Cricetulus griseus: one gene and its partner. The main gene of each other region encodes a partner of the protein of the gene in region 2 in a complex. Links are inferred from orthologs where the notes say so. Each region holds a gene or a part of one and is shown on either strand. Other genes may lie near its edges.

Region 1 (7,519 bases), on a different chromosome or scaffold from region 2:
GCCACCAGCCTGAAAAGTATTAAGTTCTTAAAGACATAAAAGTAATAAACATTTAGAGAGAGGAGAGATGGAAAGAGAGGACGTCTTTATCCTTGGAACCGTGATGCTTGGATGCATGTGGTCTCAGAACCTTGGAACCCACACACCCCAGTTGTGTTCATTCCCCTCTCATGATTTAACACCCTGGCTTTACACCATCTTCCTAGAGTTAGAATAAGTCTGCCTGTCTTTAAATGAGCAGGCAGAGGACCACAGTTATGTGATATCTTACACACAACGAGCATTTTAAACATCACCTCCCCTATCATAGTTAACATTAAAATCCAGCAAACTGCCTTGTTCCCAACTGCCTACATAGTAGGATTTTGAGAATACTGCAAAAACTTCACTGTTACCAGAGAACTGTTCTCACTGTGAATGACATCAGCAGTTATTATTACCAGCTCTTAACTTTTTTATTCTATAGTAGGCACATGGTTTAAAATACAGTAGCCCTCACAAAAAAATAATCTTACAAAATGATAAACTTGGAGCTGAGAGGGTCATAGGTATGGTGGCTTTTAGGATGGGAAAGTTGACAACTATGCCTGCAGGTCTGACATACGCATCTATAAATGTACATCTGGCCAAAGAAGAGGACCCCAAAAAGCAGCTAGTAAGACCAGAACAGCTCCCCATATATACTGCACCTCCTCTCTATTCTAAATATGTTGAACAGCCTGGTTATTTACAGATGAGCTTTGCATCCATCCATACTACAACTGTTTGTTATACTGGCTGGTGCAATGGTGTTTATATCTTTATGCAGATGGGATAATGGATACAGTACAGTTTGCATATGTCTATCTGAAGAATCCTCCTCAAGATTTTCTACCTAAGGCCGGGCGGTGGTGGCGCACGCCTTTAATCCCAGCACTCGGGAGGCAGAGGCAGGCGGATCTCTGTGAGTTCGAGGCCAGCCTGGTCTCCAGAGTGAGTGCCAGGATAGGCTCCAAAGCCACAGAGAAACCCTGTCTTAAGATTTTCTACCTAAAATGGGAGTGATTACAGCTTCAGGACTGGTGGGTTTGCTTTCAGCAAGAAAAGGTACTAGGTTTAAGAAGATTGCTTATCCACTAGGATTGGCTTCATTAGGAGCAACTATTTGTTACCTCCCTCAGTCGGTAATAATTGCAAAGATAACTGGGAAAAAGGCATATACTACAAGCCAGCAAATTTATCAAGCCATTAAGTCATTGTGGACAAAAAGCAGTGAAAAAGAATCACTCCCTGGCCGGGCATTGGTGGCACACACCTTTAATCCCAGCACTCGGGAGGCAGAGGCAGGCAGATCTCTGTGAGTTCGAGGCCAGTCTGGTCTACAGGAGCTAGTTCCAGGACAGCCTCCAAAGCCACAGAGAAGCCCTGTCTCGAAAAACCCAAAAAAAAAAAAAATAAAAAATAAAAAAAATCACTCCCGGAACCAAAGGAAGAGCCTAAGGTAGGAAGGTCTGATGAAATATATGCCAAAACGCCTGACTTGAAACATTCAGTACCTTTTCCAGAAGCACTTGCCTCTGCAACAAAGATGAAATCGAAATCCACTGCAGGCCCTACACAGTTTATACCTGACCCCAAGCTCATGGGATCCCGGGCAGTCTCATCCAGAAGATAAAGATATGTACAGCACTAGAAGCTGAAGTAGATGGCAGTGGGAGCCTGCATAGAGAATCGTAAGATGTCCCAAGTGACAAAGAATGGTGACAAATCATGTAACGGATGGGTAACTGACAGAGCATGGCTAGAAATTTTTCCATGATGTTTTCAAATAAACAGTTTGACCAGTGATACAAGTGATTTAAACACAAATTAATGACAACACAAGTAATGTTAAGAGATTGATGAAGGGGCTGGAGACATGGCTCAGGGGTTAAGAGCACTGGCTGCTCTTCCAGAGGTTCTGAGTTCAATTCCCAGCAACCACATGGTGGCTCACAACCATCTGTAATGTGATCTGGTGTCCTCTTCTGGCACGCACTATATACATGATAAATAAATAAATCTTTAAAAAAAGAGAGAGAGAGAGATTGATGAAGCAACTGAAGTAGAAGTACTAGGAGTGCATTCCATGACTTGTAAGAGAATTTATTAGAGAGCAAATAGAATGGAGATATAAATGTCTCTGAGACTAAAATCTAACCATATGCATATGTAAACATACATATACATATTTAAACATATGAATCTGCTTCCGTTTTCCCAGTTATTGCCAGTTAACTTAGAATGCTGGATAGAAGGATGTGTTTCCCAGAGTTGGAATGAAATATCCATATTTTATGGCACATAAAAAATAATAATAAACTTGACTCTGGGTAATTAAATGTATCTATAAAATAATGATTGGTTTACCTAACTCCGTTCTCTTGCCACACATAAGCAAATCAGTTCCATTTCTAAGTAAGGCATAGATGCAACTGTGTTTGCACTTTTGCCTTTGTGTGGTTGGGACGTGCAGTTGTGAATGACAGAGCTAAAATATAGGGAAGGCATGAAGGAGACAAAGCAAAGTCTTTACTTGAGTCCCTTTTAATAGGGAGTTGTTTTTAAGTTTGTAAATACCCCCCCCCCCCCGGAAATGTTGGCAGTGCAGTCAGGCTCCTGAAATTCTTGCCTCTCCAGTGCTTCTTAGACATGTCTGCCAAATATTCTTGCAATTCCCCTTTTACAAAGCAACTAGTGGGCTGGAGAAATGGTTCAGTAGTGAAAAGCACTACTCTTGCAGAGAGCCCCCAAGTTCTGTCCCCAGCACCACTTTAAGCAGCTCACAACCTTCTCAAACTTCAGCTCCAGGGGGAATCCATCACCTCTGGTCTCTGAGGGTACCTGTATTCTCTCTCTCTCTCTCTCTCTGTATTCTCTCTCTCTCTCTCTCTCTCTCTCTGTATATCTCTCTCTCTCTCTCTCTCTCTCTCTCACACACACACACACACACACACACACACACACTTAAAAATTAAAGGAAAACTGGAAGCTTGAATACAAAGACAGTTCATTTTGCGTGTTAATTTTAAACTGGAATTTACAATAGCTGTATGTGTTTGTAGTTGTTGGTGCTGTGACTTTCATAGAGCTTTCAAAACCTGCTCTCTGCAGGGGGAAAGACTGAGCCATGCTGTGGGCTGTGCTTTTGCAGCCTGTTTAGAGCGGAAACAGAAACGGGAGAAGGAGTGTGGAGTCACTGCTACTTTTGATGCCAGTAGAACCACTTTTACAAGAGAAGGATCATTCCGAGTCACAACTGCCACTGAACAAGCAGAAAGAGAGGAGATCATGAAACAGTTGCAAGATGCCAAGAAAGGTACAGTGTGTTCTTCTGTGGTGTGTTTGTTTAATTTAGATTTTCCAAACAGGTTTGTATTTGAAGCTATCAGAGACAAGTTTCCTACAGACAAAAAGAACTCTTGGGATTTCGGATGTAGCCCATTGATAGAGCATTGCTAATATGGGTTCTATTTTATCACTCCTTATCCCCCATCCACATCATACATTCAAAGAGAGATCTCTCAGCAATGTGTGACGACTTTAAAGACAAAACTGAAAATCTTACAAAAGTTCTTTCTTTAGAGTGGCTTAAAAAACATATTCTTATAGTAAGCTCCTTGGGGGAAGGTGAAAAGCAGTTGAAGAAGCTGCAGAGAACACATTTAATTCTTATGTGTCTGTCTCTATGAGACACAAGTACCATCAAAGACACACCATCTTGGAGGATGAAGCACAAGCCCCAGGATTTAGAGACACAAACACTGGCTATGATACTGGCAGAGAGTAAATGTTGATACTGTGCTGATTAGATATTGGTATAATCCTGAGTGCTTACATGTTGGTGTTTTTACTTTTGTATGGATGCTTGTCTGTGTGAGAGAGTATGCAGAAACCCAGGGCCAACATTGAGTCTTTTTCAGTAGAACAAATAACTTTCTTTTTTTATATTTATTATGTATACAGTGTTCTGCCTGCATGTATGCCTGCAGGCCAGAGAGGGCATCAGATCTCATAGATGGTTGAGCTACCATGTGGTTGCTGGGAATTGAACTCAGGACCTCTGGAAGAGCAGTCAGTGCTCTTAACCTCTGAGCCATCTCTCCAGCCCCTGTTCAGTCTTTTTTTAAAAAATCATTTTTAAGATTTTTTAACTTGTTTTATGTGTGTAGGTATTTTGTTTGCTTATATATCTGCTCACCAGATTGTTGTGGAGCCATCATATAGGTGCTGGGAATTGAACCTGGGCCCTTTGGGAAGAACAACCAATGCTCTTAACCACTGAGCATGTCTCCAGTCCTGTCTGTTCAGTCTTAGTAGAGGATAAGACAAGCAGGTGTTGCTAACTCTTCATGTGTCAGAGTGCAGAGGGCCTGAACCATTTTCTAGCCTGTCTTATGTAAGACATGGGATGTGGGTTCGGTAGAGAACAAGAGGACTGCTCGCACTCTCTCTCTCTCTCTCTCTCTCTCTCTCTCTCTCTCTCTCTCTCTCTCTGCCATTTCTCTGAGGAGGCAGGTCTCTCTCTTTTCTGTTTCTCTCTTCTCTCTACCCTCTCTTCCCTTCCCTTCCCTTCCCTTCCCTTCCCTTCCCTTCCCTTCCCTTCCCTCCCTTCCCTTCCCTTCCCCTTCCCTTCCCTTCCCTTCCCTTCCCCTTCCTCCCTCCCTCCCTTCCCTCCCCTACCCTTCCCTTCCCTTCCCTTCCCTTCCCTACCCTTCCCTTCCCCCAGTGAAACTTCCTTCCCATGTGAACAGAAAAGAACAAGAGGGCTTCTGTGCTCTCAGCTCTGTCAACTCAGGGTATTTGAAGGTCACTGCTGAGGTCTAAGGTCTTTTTCTTTGTTTTTTTTTTTTGTTGTTGTTGTTGGTTTGTTTGTTTTTTGTTTTGTTTTGTTGAGCAGAGCAAGATAAGGCAGTTGTTGGTCCGTCAGTGGCTCCTGGCAACACTGCTCCATCCCCATCCTCCCCCACCTCTCCAACTTCGGATACCACTGCTTCTCTGGAGATGAACAACCCTCATGCCATACCACGCCGGCATGCACCAATTGAACAACTTGCTCGCCAAGGCTCCTTCCGGGGATTTCCTGCTCTTAGCCAGAAGATGTCACCCTTTAAACGCCAACTATCCCTACGCATCAATGAGTTGCCTTCCACTATGCAGAGGAAGACTGATTTCCCAATAAAAAACGCAGGTAATATGCTCTAGCTCTGATGTGCCGTCACCTCTCCTGTCTCTCTGAAGCTGTTAGCTATACTGTGTGTCATTTCAGATGAAAGCAAACTAGGGCCCATAAGTAGTTGACAGAGCCACAGGTCTGTGTTTGTCCTGGTGTAGATGTGTTCTCTCAGCCTGCCTGTTTCCAAACATCAAGGGTTCCAAATTCCCATTCTTCATGTGCTGCATAGGACCGGGGAGAATTAAAGAGGCTTTAGAAGCATTTACAGGTTAATAGTAAGTACCACTGTCAAACGAACAGAAGAAATGGATAAGTGTTCCTTATGTTTGGCTTCATAGAGAACACATTCTAAATGGCTCTTTTATACAAATCTAAGGTCTGTTGTTGAGCAGAAGCATGAGATTGCTCACATTGATTCCTCACCTGTGTGTCCTCTGTTCAGCTAGAGCCAGCCTGTGAGCTCTATCCTTATCATGTGATCTGGAACTAAAGTGTTAGATGTGGCTGGTGCTTTTATGGACCCTATAGTGCTTCCCTCTGAGACACACTGTCTCTATAACTGAACATGAGAAAGCTCTGGCTCAGTAGGCACTTCTACAGACAACATATAAAGTACAGGGAGGTAAGAACTGTGGACAAATAAAACTAGGCTTAAAGAACAGTTGGAGGTAGGTGATCACAGGAAGTCTTTTCGGCAACCCCCAAACTGCAGATGCTTGAGGTACCTCTGTGCAGTGTCCCTCTGGGGCAGATGATCATAGATAGAAGTCTCTTTTTCACAGAGAGCAAAGGTTCAGTACACATCATTTATTTGCTCAGTAATAAGGAAGTGTTTTCAGTGTCTTTTTTTTCCCACACAGGATCTCAAACTTGCTTGGACCCAAACTCTGGATGAAAGCAATCTTCCTGCTTGGCTTTCCAGAGTTAGTATTAAGGAGTCTTTAGCGTCCTACATTTCAGTTCACTTTTCTTGGATACCACAGTTCATGTACTAGAAGTTTTAAAGAAAATGAAAGTGTTGACATGTCATATTTGGATTCAGGAGAAAGCTTTTGTATCTAGCCTTAAACACACACACACCCCTATTTTTTTTTTTTTTTTTTTTTTTGATAAAATTGCTTGATGGCTCTAGAACCTGATTAGGTCATAAGTTCTAGGACCCAGTCAACTTTTTTTTTCAAAGATTTATTTATTTATTATGTATAGTATACAGTGTTATGGCATGTATGCCTGCATGCCAGAAGAGAGCACCAAACCTCATTATAGATGGTTGTAAGCCACCATGTGGTTGCTGGGAATTGAACTCAGGACCTCTGGAAGAGTAGCCAGTGCTCTTAACCTCTGAGCCATGTCTCCAGCGCCCCAGTCAACTCTTACAGATTGCAGAGATCTTCCCAAAAGATCCAGCTATTATAAACAACCTCACATTAAAAAAAAAAATAACAACAACAATAAACAAGTACCAAATTCCCAACAATGTCATAAAAAGAACTAAAGACATTTAGGGATTTGCAGAGAAAGATGCTCTATCTTAGTGCATAGTTTACTGATGTTTTCTGCTTTCCTGTCTGAAAATTGAAGTGTTCATCAATTAATTTACTGAAGCTGATTGTGTATCCTGACAGTTAAAACTTGTCCTTCTGCAAGGGAGAGAGTGAAAAATGGCTGTTTACACCATGCTGTCATATTTCAGGTTTTTTCTATTTCCTGTCTAGAACCATTGTGTTTGTCTTGCAGTGCCAGAGGTAGAAGGAGAGGCAGAGAGCATCAGCTCCCTGTGTTCACAGATCACCAGTGCCTTTAGCACACCCTCCGAGGACCCCTTTTCCTCTGCCCCAATGACCAAACCAGTTACATTGGTGGCACCACAGTCTCCTGTATTACAAGGTTGGTGACCTCTGACCTCAGTTGTTCTCTTTGAAACTAACCCTGTTGGCATGCTGCTTGTGAACTAGAAGTTGGCATCTGAGCTTGCCATTATCCTCATCTCCCTGCCCAGCCACCTCTTCGGGCTTTGTTCCTCTCCTAAGTTGCCCGCTTTCATCATTTGGCACATGTACGTCTGTCTTTCATCTTCTAGTAAGAGTTTCAGTAACCCCAGTCCACCACTTTGTTTGCCTTTTGACTTCAACGGTCAGAGCAGCCAGCCAGCTTTACAAAATCTGTTATCAGGATTGGTTCAGGCTCTGTGCCTTCTAGCATAGTGATTCCCCACCAGGGATAATTTTGCCTCCTCAGGGAAAATTTGACATTCATTGTATGGAGACATTTTGGGATTACAGCATCAGAATTACAGCATCAGAAATGCTGGCAAACACCCTTCAA
Region 2 (8,215 bases):
CCCAACAACTAACAGTCAGAACTGAAATTTAACCAATTCTTAGCTATGGCACTGAAAAGCTCCCCAGTTTTCAGAACAGGCAATGTTCAGACCTACATACTTCCCTTTTACACTTGTCCACTGCAGCTAAGCCACAAGGAGTAGATTCTATTTTTAATCAAACTTGGCAGATACACCCAGTAAGTGTAACTGCTTAGTAAGTCCACCTACATAAAGTAATTGGAACAATGGTTAGTATAGCAGACATGTATCAGAAACTATCCTGTAACTTCCTGGGGGATTGTATAATGTTAGAGAATTCAAATTCTAGCTTCACAACCTACTAACCAAGACACTATTAACCAATGCAAATCCCATCTGTAAAATGGTACTATTACAAACAATACTTGTAAACTCCTGTTTTAACATTGTATGAAAGCTGAAGGAGTCAACCAGTGGTAGAATATATGCTTAGCACATACAAGACCCTGGGGTTTTTGATTCCTAGTACCAGGCAATTAGTATAAATAAAAACAATTGGTACATGGACTAAAAGCTACTATCTAGTGAGTACCTAGTAAGTAAAATTCCTCAAACTTGCTGAATGTAATATGGAAAACAATGAGGTAACCCTTCAAAACTTTTGGTTTTTTTCAGACAGGATCTTACTGCATAACTCAGACTGGTCTTTGTTTGTCTTAGAATTTTCCTATGAATTTTTAATTTTTTATTTTAACGAAGGCTAGTCTTAAACTCACAATAATCCTCCAACCTTAACTTCCCAAGTTCTGGGATTACAGGCATAAGCTATCAAACTTAGCCTACACTATATTTCTAAAAAAAAAAAAAAGTGTAACCTCTATAGTTAACTCCTAATAATAATAATAATAATAATAATAATAATAATAATAATAAAGCACTTTTTCTTTTCCCAAGTGAGCAGTATGGCTCCCATACTACTGAAAGCTTTTCAGAAGACAATTCAGGAACCCAGATGCAGACAGAAATCAGAAATCCTGCTTTCAGGGAAGGAAGACTATATATCTGTTACCTGAAATACTTCTTTCCCGTACAAGGGACAAAGCCAAAGCCCTAAGTATGCTAAGTGCTCTCCCACCCAACCCCAACCCTAGAGCAGTAGCCTCCAACTGAATCTATTACATAAATATTAAATGTCTTCTTCCTTCCTCAGTTTGGATATTGGTAAAGAGAGAATCACATTTCAATGCCCAGCCAGTGGAAAATGGGACTCTCCTAGTTTTCATTTATTCCAAACAGCACTAAAGTGGCTTTCACATTCGTGGTGGATCAATCCCAGCACTCAGGGGGCAGAGGCCAACCTGGTCCATGTAGGGAGTTCCAAGCCAGATTCACGTATGTGTGTTGGTGATGACACACACAATGAGAACCTATCTCAAAAAAATTTCCATATTGACACAATTTTTGATGGATCTTAAAAGTCCAATGTCTCCTCCAGTCATTCAGTGGGATTCTCCTTTTACACACCACCTGCTGCTTCTCCCATTTCTCACACTCTCATAGCCAGCAAGTGTAAGGGCCTTTTGCCTCTTCCTGCCCAACTCATGTTGCTTTGAATGCAGTTTTGTTTCTTGCACTTAGATATTCATCAAATCCAACATTTTGCTCTATATTCTACCAACACTGTAAGACTGTAGCAGCTGGGTGTGGTGGCACATGCCTGTAATCCAAGCACTCACGAGGCGTAGGGTTTGAAGTCAGTAAGACCCTAATAACTTTGTACAGCACTGTATATTTGCATTTTGTAATTTCAGTTACCACCTCTAAATGACTCAGGGGAAGAAGAAGATATGACTGAATTATCTACCCATCAATACAGAAGCCTATAGTTCCCTTATCTCCTGACAACTCAGTCCTTCTACAGGAGCATTTTATTCTCATTTAATAAACTTACTTCATACTCCATGGAAGTGACTAGGCAACATCAGGAAGGGCTTGAAGAGTTATTTAATTAAGCTTCTGTAACATGTGATGACTCTTCATGAGTAGGGGGAGAAGTTATGGTCTTCAACCGATTTGAAGCAATACCACTATTCCTAATGGGGTGGGGGGTGGGCTGAGGAATCAAAACAGGGACCCTCAAAATGCTAGGCAATGGCTGTACCACCCAAGCTCCACCTTCAGTCATTCTTAAAGTTTACCACTACTGTCCTCCAGGTGACGCTGCTAGATTAAGAAACATCATTATGCCGGGCGGTGGTGGCGCATGCCTTTAATCCCAGCACTCGGGAGGCAGAGGCAGGCGGATCTCTGTGAGTTCGAGACCAGCCTGGTCTACAAGAGCTAGTTCCAGGACAGCCTCCAAAGCCACAGAGAAACCCTGTCTCGAAAAACCAAAAAAAAAAAAAAAGAAACATCATTATAGGCACTATGACTAAACCACTTAAATTAATAAAAACCATCTTGAAGATTAAAGAAAAAAACTGACTTGTTACTAATACCAATATTCCTAATTTTTTTTCAATTTTCCTAATTTTATACTTCAGAGATCCTGCAGCCAGGAGATGTAAGTTTCAAGGTCAGAGTAGTGACACCCTACTCCCCCATTCTGTCAAGCCTGTTCCACTCTCTCTAAACAGTGTACTTACCTGCCTTTAAACTGCCTGAAAAAAAGCCCACATAAACCCAGGGGGAAGCCAGGCAGGACGGTGCACACCAGTGATCCCAGGATTTGATGGGTAAAGGCAAAATCACCTGGAGTTCAAGGCCAGCCTCAGCTATTTAATGTATTTGAGGACAGCCTGGGATACCTGAAAACCTATCTAAAAGAAAAAAAGGAAAAAACCCAATGTGAGTATACTAGAGTTCATTCTTCCCAAAAGCTTTTGAATAGATGGCCTATTAGCATTTATTAAGAATTTCATCTAAAAATTACACCAACAGGCAAAATAAGATTTTTTTCTACACCTACCTAAAAATATATCCCACTAATATAGGTGGCAAACATTAATTCTGGTAGGAAACAACTCCCCTTATTTTTTTAGTAGTTAACTTGAGGGAATGTTTTATCACAAATTTGATGGTGCAAATATTAAATTCTCTGTTCCTGGTGTCTTTTCCAAACCATGAATCATGAATTTCTAACACACTCAAAGGTTCATTAGCTTGTAAAATGTTATCTTAATGCCCCAGGGAACATCTGTGAATAAAATAGGCAACTTCATTTTCAAGCCCATTTAGAGAGACCAGAGGGCCTTTTTTTCCCTGATGAAACTATATTTTGTTCTGGTAACATCTCTCTAGTCTTTCCTAATTTCCCACCTCAGGAAATTGGCAGCTCCACATACATGACAGCCGTTTTTCCTTAGTTTTAATTCATCTTCATATAAGCCCCATCCATCTTTCTCTTCAACATTTTTATCTCCCAAAACTGCAGCCTTCAAGTACCACTCACACCATGAGCACAGGCCTCACTCAGGGTCCAGGGAGAGGCCTCAACTTGCAGAATCCCAGAGCTATTTGGTGACTTGGTGTGTGAACAGTGGTGGCTTTCAAGATGTACATTAGTGATTACAGTCTTGTTTCCAAAAATTTGCAAAACCATATTTTAACTTTGTTTTCTTAAAGGAAGAATTCACAATTTCTTCAAAGTCCAGACCCCAAACCCAGAACATCCCCTGGTATAAATGAAAAGCTTGTATATAATCAGCACAGCATAGCATAATAGTGAAGTCAGTCTCACCAATGAATCAACAAACAGGGTTTCCAGAGACATTTTGCTGAATGTGTAACAGGGCACTAGAGAAGATAGTAACTTGATTATCTGTTCTTACCTGGGAAATCCTAAATGTTCACCTCAATTTTATATCTCATGTAGTATCAAAATAAAGTTTCCAAATTATATTAACAGGAGTCTCTAGGTTTATAATTTTTTATTTAAGAATCATTTCAAAGGCCAGCTATAGGACATATGAGCTACAATCTAGGGCAGTTAATACTTACTCATTTAAGTCAGCTAAAAACTGCCCTAAGGGCTGCTTAAAAGGCAGATTTCTGAGTCTCACTCCCAAAATGCTTGTCTATGGTGGAGTCCAAGGAAATTCTCCCCAAGCTTAGGAGGTTTACACCAAGACACTTAGTAGCCACGGTTGCACCTCTATCACTGTGACCTTGACAAGAAATATTCTTGACAAGAGAAAACCCAGGACCATGTGAAGAGTCGTCTATAGTGGGGTGGTAACCAGAATTCAAACCCTCGAATAGGCAGGTAGGCTCTAATCTACGATACTTGCTAGGGTGTGGCTGGGCATGTCTCCTTTACCGGAAATCAAGTTGCAGAATCCATCTATGAGGGTCTCAGGAATGCAAAGGCACCCAGGTTTGCTTCATTTTCATTTCCTCCGCAGGCAGACACGCTGCACTGAATGTTGGGATATTATGTAGGGACCCACGCCCTCCTCACGCCTATGACTTCTGGAATGAGGTCTTCGCACACAAAGCCAGACCCGAGGTGTGGAAAATGGGAAAGAACCAACTTCAGGCAAGCAAAGCAAACAGGTCGTGGCGGAGAAAACCAGGAGACGGGTCTCCAGTGGCTGAGGATTCTTTATTACAAGTGGGTGAATGGTGGAAGGGAAGCACGTTTCGCCTCAGGTCGGAAGAAGGGTCTAGAAGCAGGAACGCGATTTCCTCGTGTACCCCCTCCCCCACCAGGGCTCCGAGCGAGGCTGCGGCGACCCCTGCCCGCCAACCTCCGAGGGGAGACCCCGCCGCGGCAGGGCCTCAGGAAATGGAGAGCTCGGCGGCCGCCGCGCCCAAAAGGTGGCTGTGCGCTGGGAGGGAGCCGCCGCCCAGGCCCGACCCGCCCCACAGCCCCCGGCCGCCCGGCTCCCGGTGCGCTCACCGCCTTCATGGCGGAGGCCATGTCGTCGTAGCGCTCCGCCTGCTCCGCCAGTCGCGCCCGCTGCAGCAGCTGCTCTCGGTCCCCCATGTCTCTCGCGACTCGGCCTCGCCTCGCGCGCCCGCACCGCCTGCTTGCTCGCTCGCTCGCCCGCCTGCCCGTCCGCTTCCCGGTCTCCGCCGAGGCCGCCGCCGCGCACGCGCACTGGCTCGCCGGCTGGCGGGAGGCTGCAGGCTGCGCCGCGGCTCGCGCCCTCTCGCTGGCTGGCTGCACGCGCAGTGGCGAGGGCCGCGGAGCCGCGGAGAGAGGACAGGGGGGCGCCGCGGGCGGCGGGAGGGAGGACGCGACCACGCCTGCGCACTCGGAGCGGCGAGCCGCGGGAGGGGGAGCGGGGCGGCCCAGCCCTAACGGTCTTTTTTAAGGTGACGTCATCTACTATAAATAGCTGCGGCTAGGCCCAGCGCTGGAGAGCGGCGCAGGCGCCCTAGGAGTGCTGCATTTTACCGCCGCAGTGTTGGAGGGTAGGGAGCGGCCAGGGCGCGGCGATGGTGGCTCCTCAGGCTGGCGTTGTCGCCGCCCAGGCCAGGAAAGCGTCACAAAACCCATGTTAGAGCTCAGGTTTGAGAAGGGCCCTCCCAGCAAATAACCCTGTGTGGAGAAGCCGCCGCCCCCCACCGAGGGACGTCTCTGCTCCCTGAGGCCACACCCAGCGCTTGGGTCAGCTCTGGTGGTGGCTCCTTCCCTTAGGGACAGCTCCTCAGAGACACTGGAACCCACCATACCGCACCCTGAGAAGTGACCTTCGGCCAGCTCTGGCTTTCACAGGGCTGGCAGGTAGCTTGGCAGAGTTTAACGGTCACGACAGGCCTACGAGGAGCTGGCCCACTGCTGGGCCTTAACTGGCACTAACCTATTTCATACAACCGACTCCACGAAAATCACAGCAGGCCCCCATTTTTCAAAGCCCAAGTGCATGCCGCGACCCCGGTTAAAAAAAAGTTGGCGACCAACCTGGTCGACTTACCCTGTCTGTTTCAAAGATTTGAAAGGAAGTTTGGGGTTACAACACAGAGGTACCATGTTTGCCTGGTGTGAGCGAGGGCCTGAGGTGGACCCCTCAGTGGAAGAAGCAGCAAAAATGCAAAGCAAGGGCACACACACTTCCTGTGTGTGGAGTGACCAAAATCTGATTTCAGTATCTTCTTGGACTTCTATGGCAATGGACTGACTGGTCACTAAGCCCCTCCCAGGCCTGCAATTCCATGCTAAGGGATCCTGGGTTGGGCCTTAAGACCAAGCTAGGAAAAAAAAAAAAAATTAAAACAAGCACTCTAGCCAGTCACAGGTGGCTCTCTGAGTTCCAGGACAGCCTGGTCTAGAAAGCAAGTTCCAGGACAGTCAGGGCTACACAGAGAAACCCTGTCTAGAAACAAAGCAAAAAACAAAACATCCCCAGAGAATCACAGGAGAAGGGGCCTTAGGTTGACTGAGAACTGTGCGTATTGAAGGCAAGGGGGCAGAGATGAACCCCAGACATTGCTCTTCAGAGCTATCATTTTCATTTTTAAATATATAGAGAGGACGTTTTAAACTTTTTGTATTTTGAGACAGAGTTTCTCCGTGTAACAGTCCTCGCTATCCTGGAAATTGCTTTGTAGACCAGGCTAGCCTCGAACTCACTGAGATCCAGCTGCCTCTGCCTTCCAAGTGCTGGGACTAAAGGCATGCGCCACCACCGCCAGACTGTTTCTAACTTTTTTAAACATATTTGGGTGGAAGGCAAGTGGGGTGAGGGATGCGTGTGTAGAGGTCAGAGGTGTGTGTGTGTGTGTGTGTGTGCACGCGCTCGCGCGTCCCCTAGAACTGGGGCAGTTGTGAGCTGCCATGTGGGTGCTGGAGATAGAACCCAGGACCTCTGGAAGAACAGCCGGTGCTCTTATACTCTAAGCCATCTCTCTAGCCCCAGATGGCATCTTGCTCATCTTGCTGTTGTCTCTCTCCCCTGTGGGTTCCTGAGAGGAATTCAGGTCATCTGGTTTAACTACAAGTGACTTTACTTACATCTGAACCATCTCACTGGCCACTCATTTTTTGTGTGTTTTTGTTTTATACAGATCTTTCATTTGGCCTGGAACTCACTAACTGGGCTATGCCTGCTGACCTTAAAACCTCAAGAATCCACTAGCCTTCACCTCCTCTGCACTGGGGTTCAAGCATGCTCTACTATGCCTGGCTTCTTATCACTGGGTGATGGGGTCAGGTGATGGGAATCTCACCACTGGGTGATGGGGTCAGCTGATGGGAATCTCACTACTGGGTGATGGGGTCAGGTGATGGGAATCTCACCACTGAGTGATAGTGAAACCTGCTTGAACCCCAGTGCTGGGGAAGTAGAGGCAAATGGATTCCTGGAACTTTGTGGTCAGTCAACATAGTCTAATTGCCTTCTGTGAGGGCAGGTGTAGCACTGCCTTCCTGGGTTGCTTCCTGCTCTCAGAGCATACCGCCCTTAAGCATTTCTGGCATTCTCAGCCTGAAATTGGTTGACAGTGAAAATGAAGCTGAGCTGTGTGTTCTGGATAATTGATTTTGACAGTACTACAGTTTGAACATCGTCTCCTGAAAAAAGCATGCATCCACAGTGCTTCAGAGGAAGAGCCTGATGGGAAGTGCTGAGATCATGGTGGCTCCTCCTCCATAAATGGATTAATACCAGCTAGAAAAGGCCTGGAGAGAACTATCCCAGGTTCAAAACAAACAAAAACCAAAACTGTTCTATCTTCTGCCAAGGAGTATCATATTCTTAGATTTCTGAGGCCCTAAACCTGGGGCAGTGAGGGGGGCAGATTATAATTTTTATTAGTTACCCAGTCTGTGGCTTTCTGCTAGCTATAGCAGACAACAGAAAGGAAATGACATTGGTGACTCCTTGCTTCTCCCTCGAAGAGTTTTGCCTTCTCTATCTGCCTCGCTTCATCTAGACTCTTCATGGCCACCAGAGATGCTTCATAGTCCTCACCTCCCTGGCTCTCTTGGGTGCACTGGGCTCAGTTGCCGCTTGTCCCTCCATGTGGGTTCTCCTCTTGGCTTCTGTGGTCCTACACTCTCTAAGCACCCTTCTGCTGCAGAGTGGGCTCACCCTCTAGCCTTCCCTGAAGTATTGGTGTGCCTCAGGACCACCCCAGCCCCTCTTCTCACTCTGCTTCATCTTTGCCCCATCCATGTTCACTCTTACGGGAAAATGACTCAATAGCATGTTCCCAGCACTGGGTGATGTGCTATATAATGTTTTTGTTTTGTGATAACTCTGAAAGGCATGTACAATTCCAATTTCCATTTTATAGTTGAGGAAACTGG

What was found. The genes of interacting proteins can lie anywhere in the genome.
Region 1: the proteins of Ywhah (region 2) and Numb are in contact, whole or in part, in a crystal structure (PDB 5YQG), measured with the Mus musculus proteins. The link is inferred for Cricetulus griseus from reciprocal best matches to the Homo sapiens genes YWHAH and NUMB. Residues at the interface, in NP_035868.1 of Mus musculus: Arg57, Arg132, Tyr133, Leu177, Asn178, Val181, Glu185, Ile222, Leu225, Asn229; in NP_001129547.1 of Mus musculus: Gln274, Gly275, Ser276, Phe277.

Annotation. Positions count from the first base shown.
Region 1 is NC_048598.1:119,944,333-119,951,851, forward strand, and holds part of Numb (protein numb homolog), read left to right. Parts: intron 1-3,132; coding exon 3,133-3,337; intron 3,338-4,918; coding exon 4,919-5,209; intron 5,210-6,931; coding exon 6,932-7,081; intron 7,082-7,519. UniProt on the Homo sapiens protein: Regulates clathrin-mediated receptor endocytosis. Plays a role in the process of neurogenesis.
Region 2 is NW_023276807.1:102,059,766-102,067,980, reverse strand, and holds the start of Ywhah (14-3-3 protein eta), read right to left. Parts: upstream 5,152-8,215; 5' UTR 4,949-5,151; coding exon 4,862-4,948; intron 1-4,861. UniProt on the Homo sapiens protein: Adapter protein implicated in the regulation of a large spectrum of both general and specialized signaling pathways. Binds to a large number of partners, usually by recognition of a phosphoserine or phosphothreonine motif.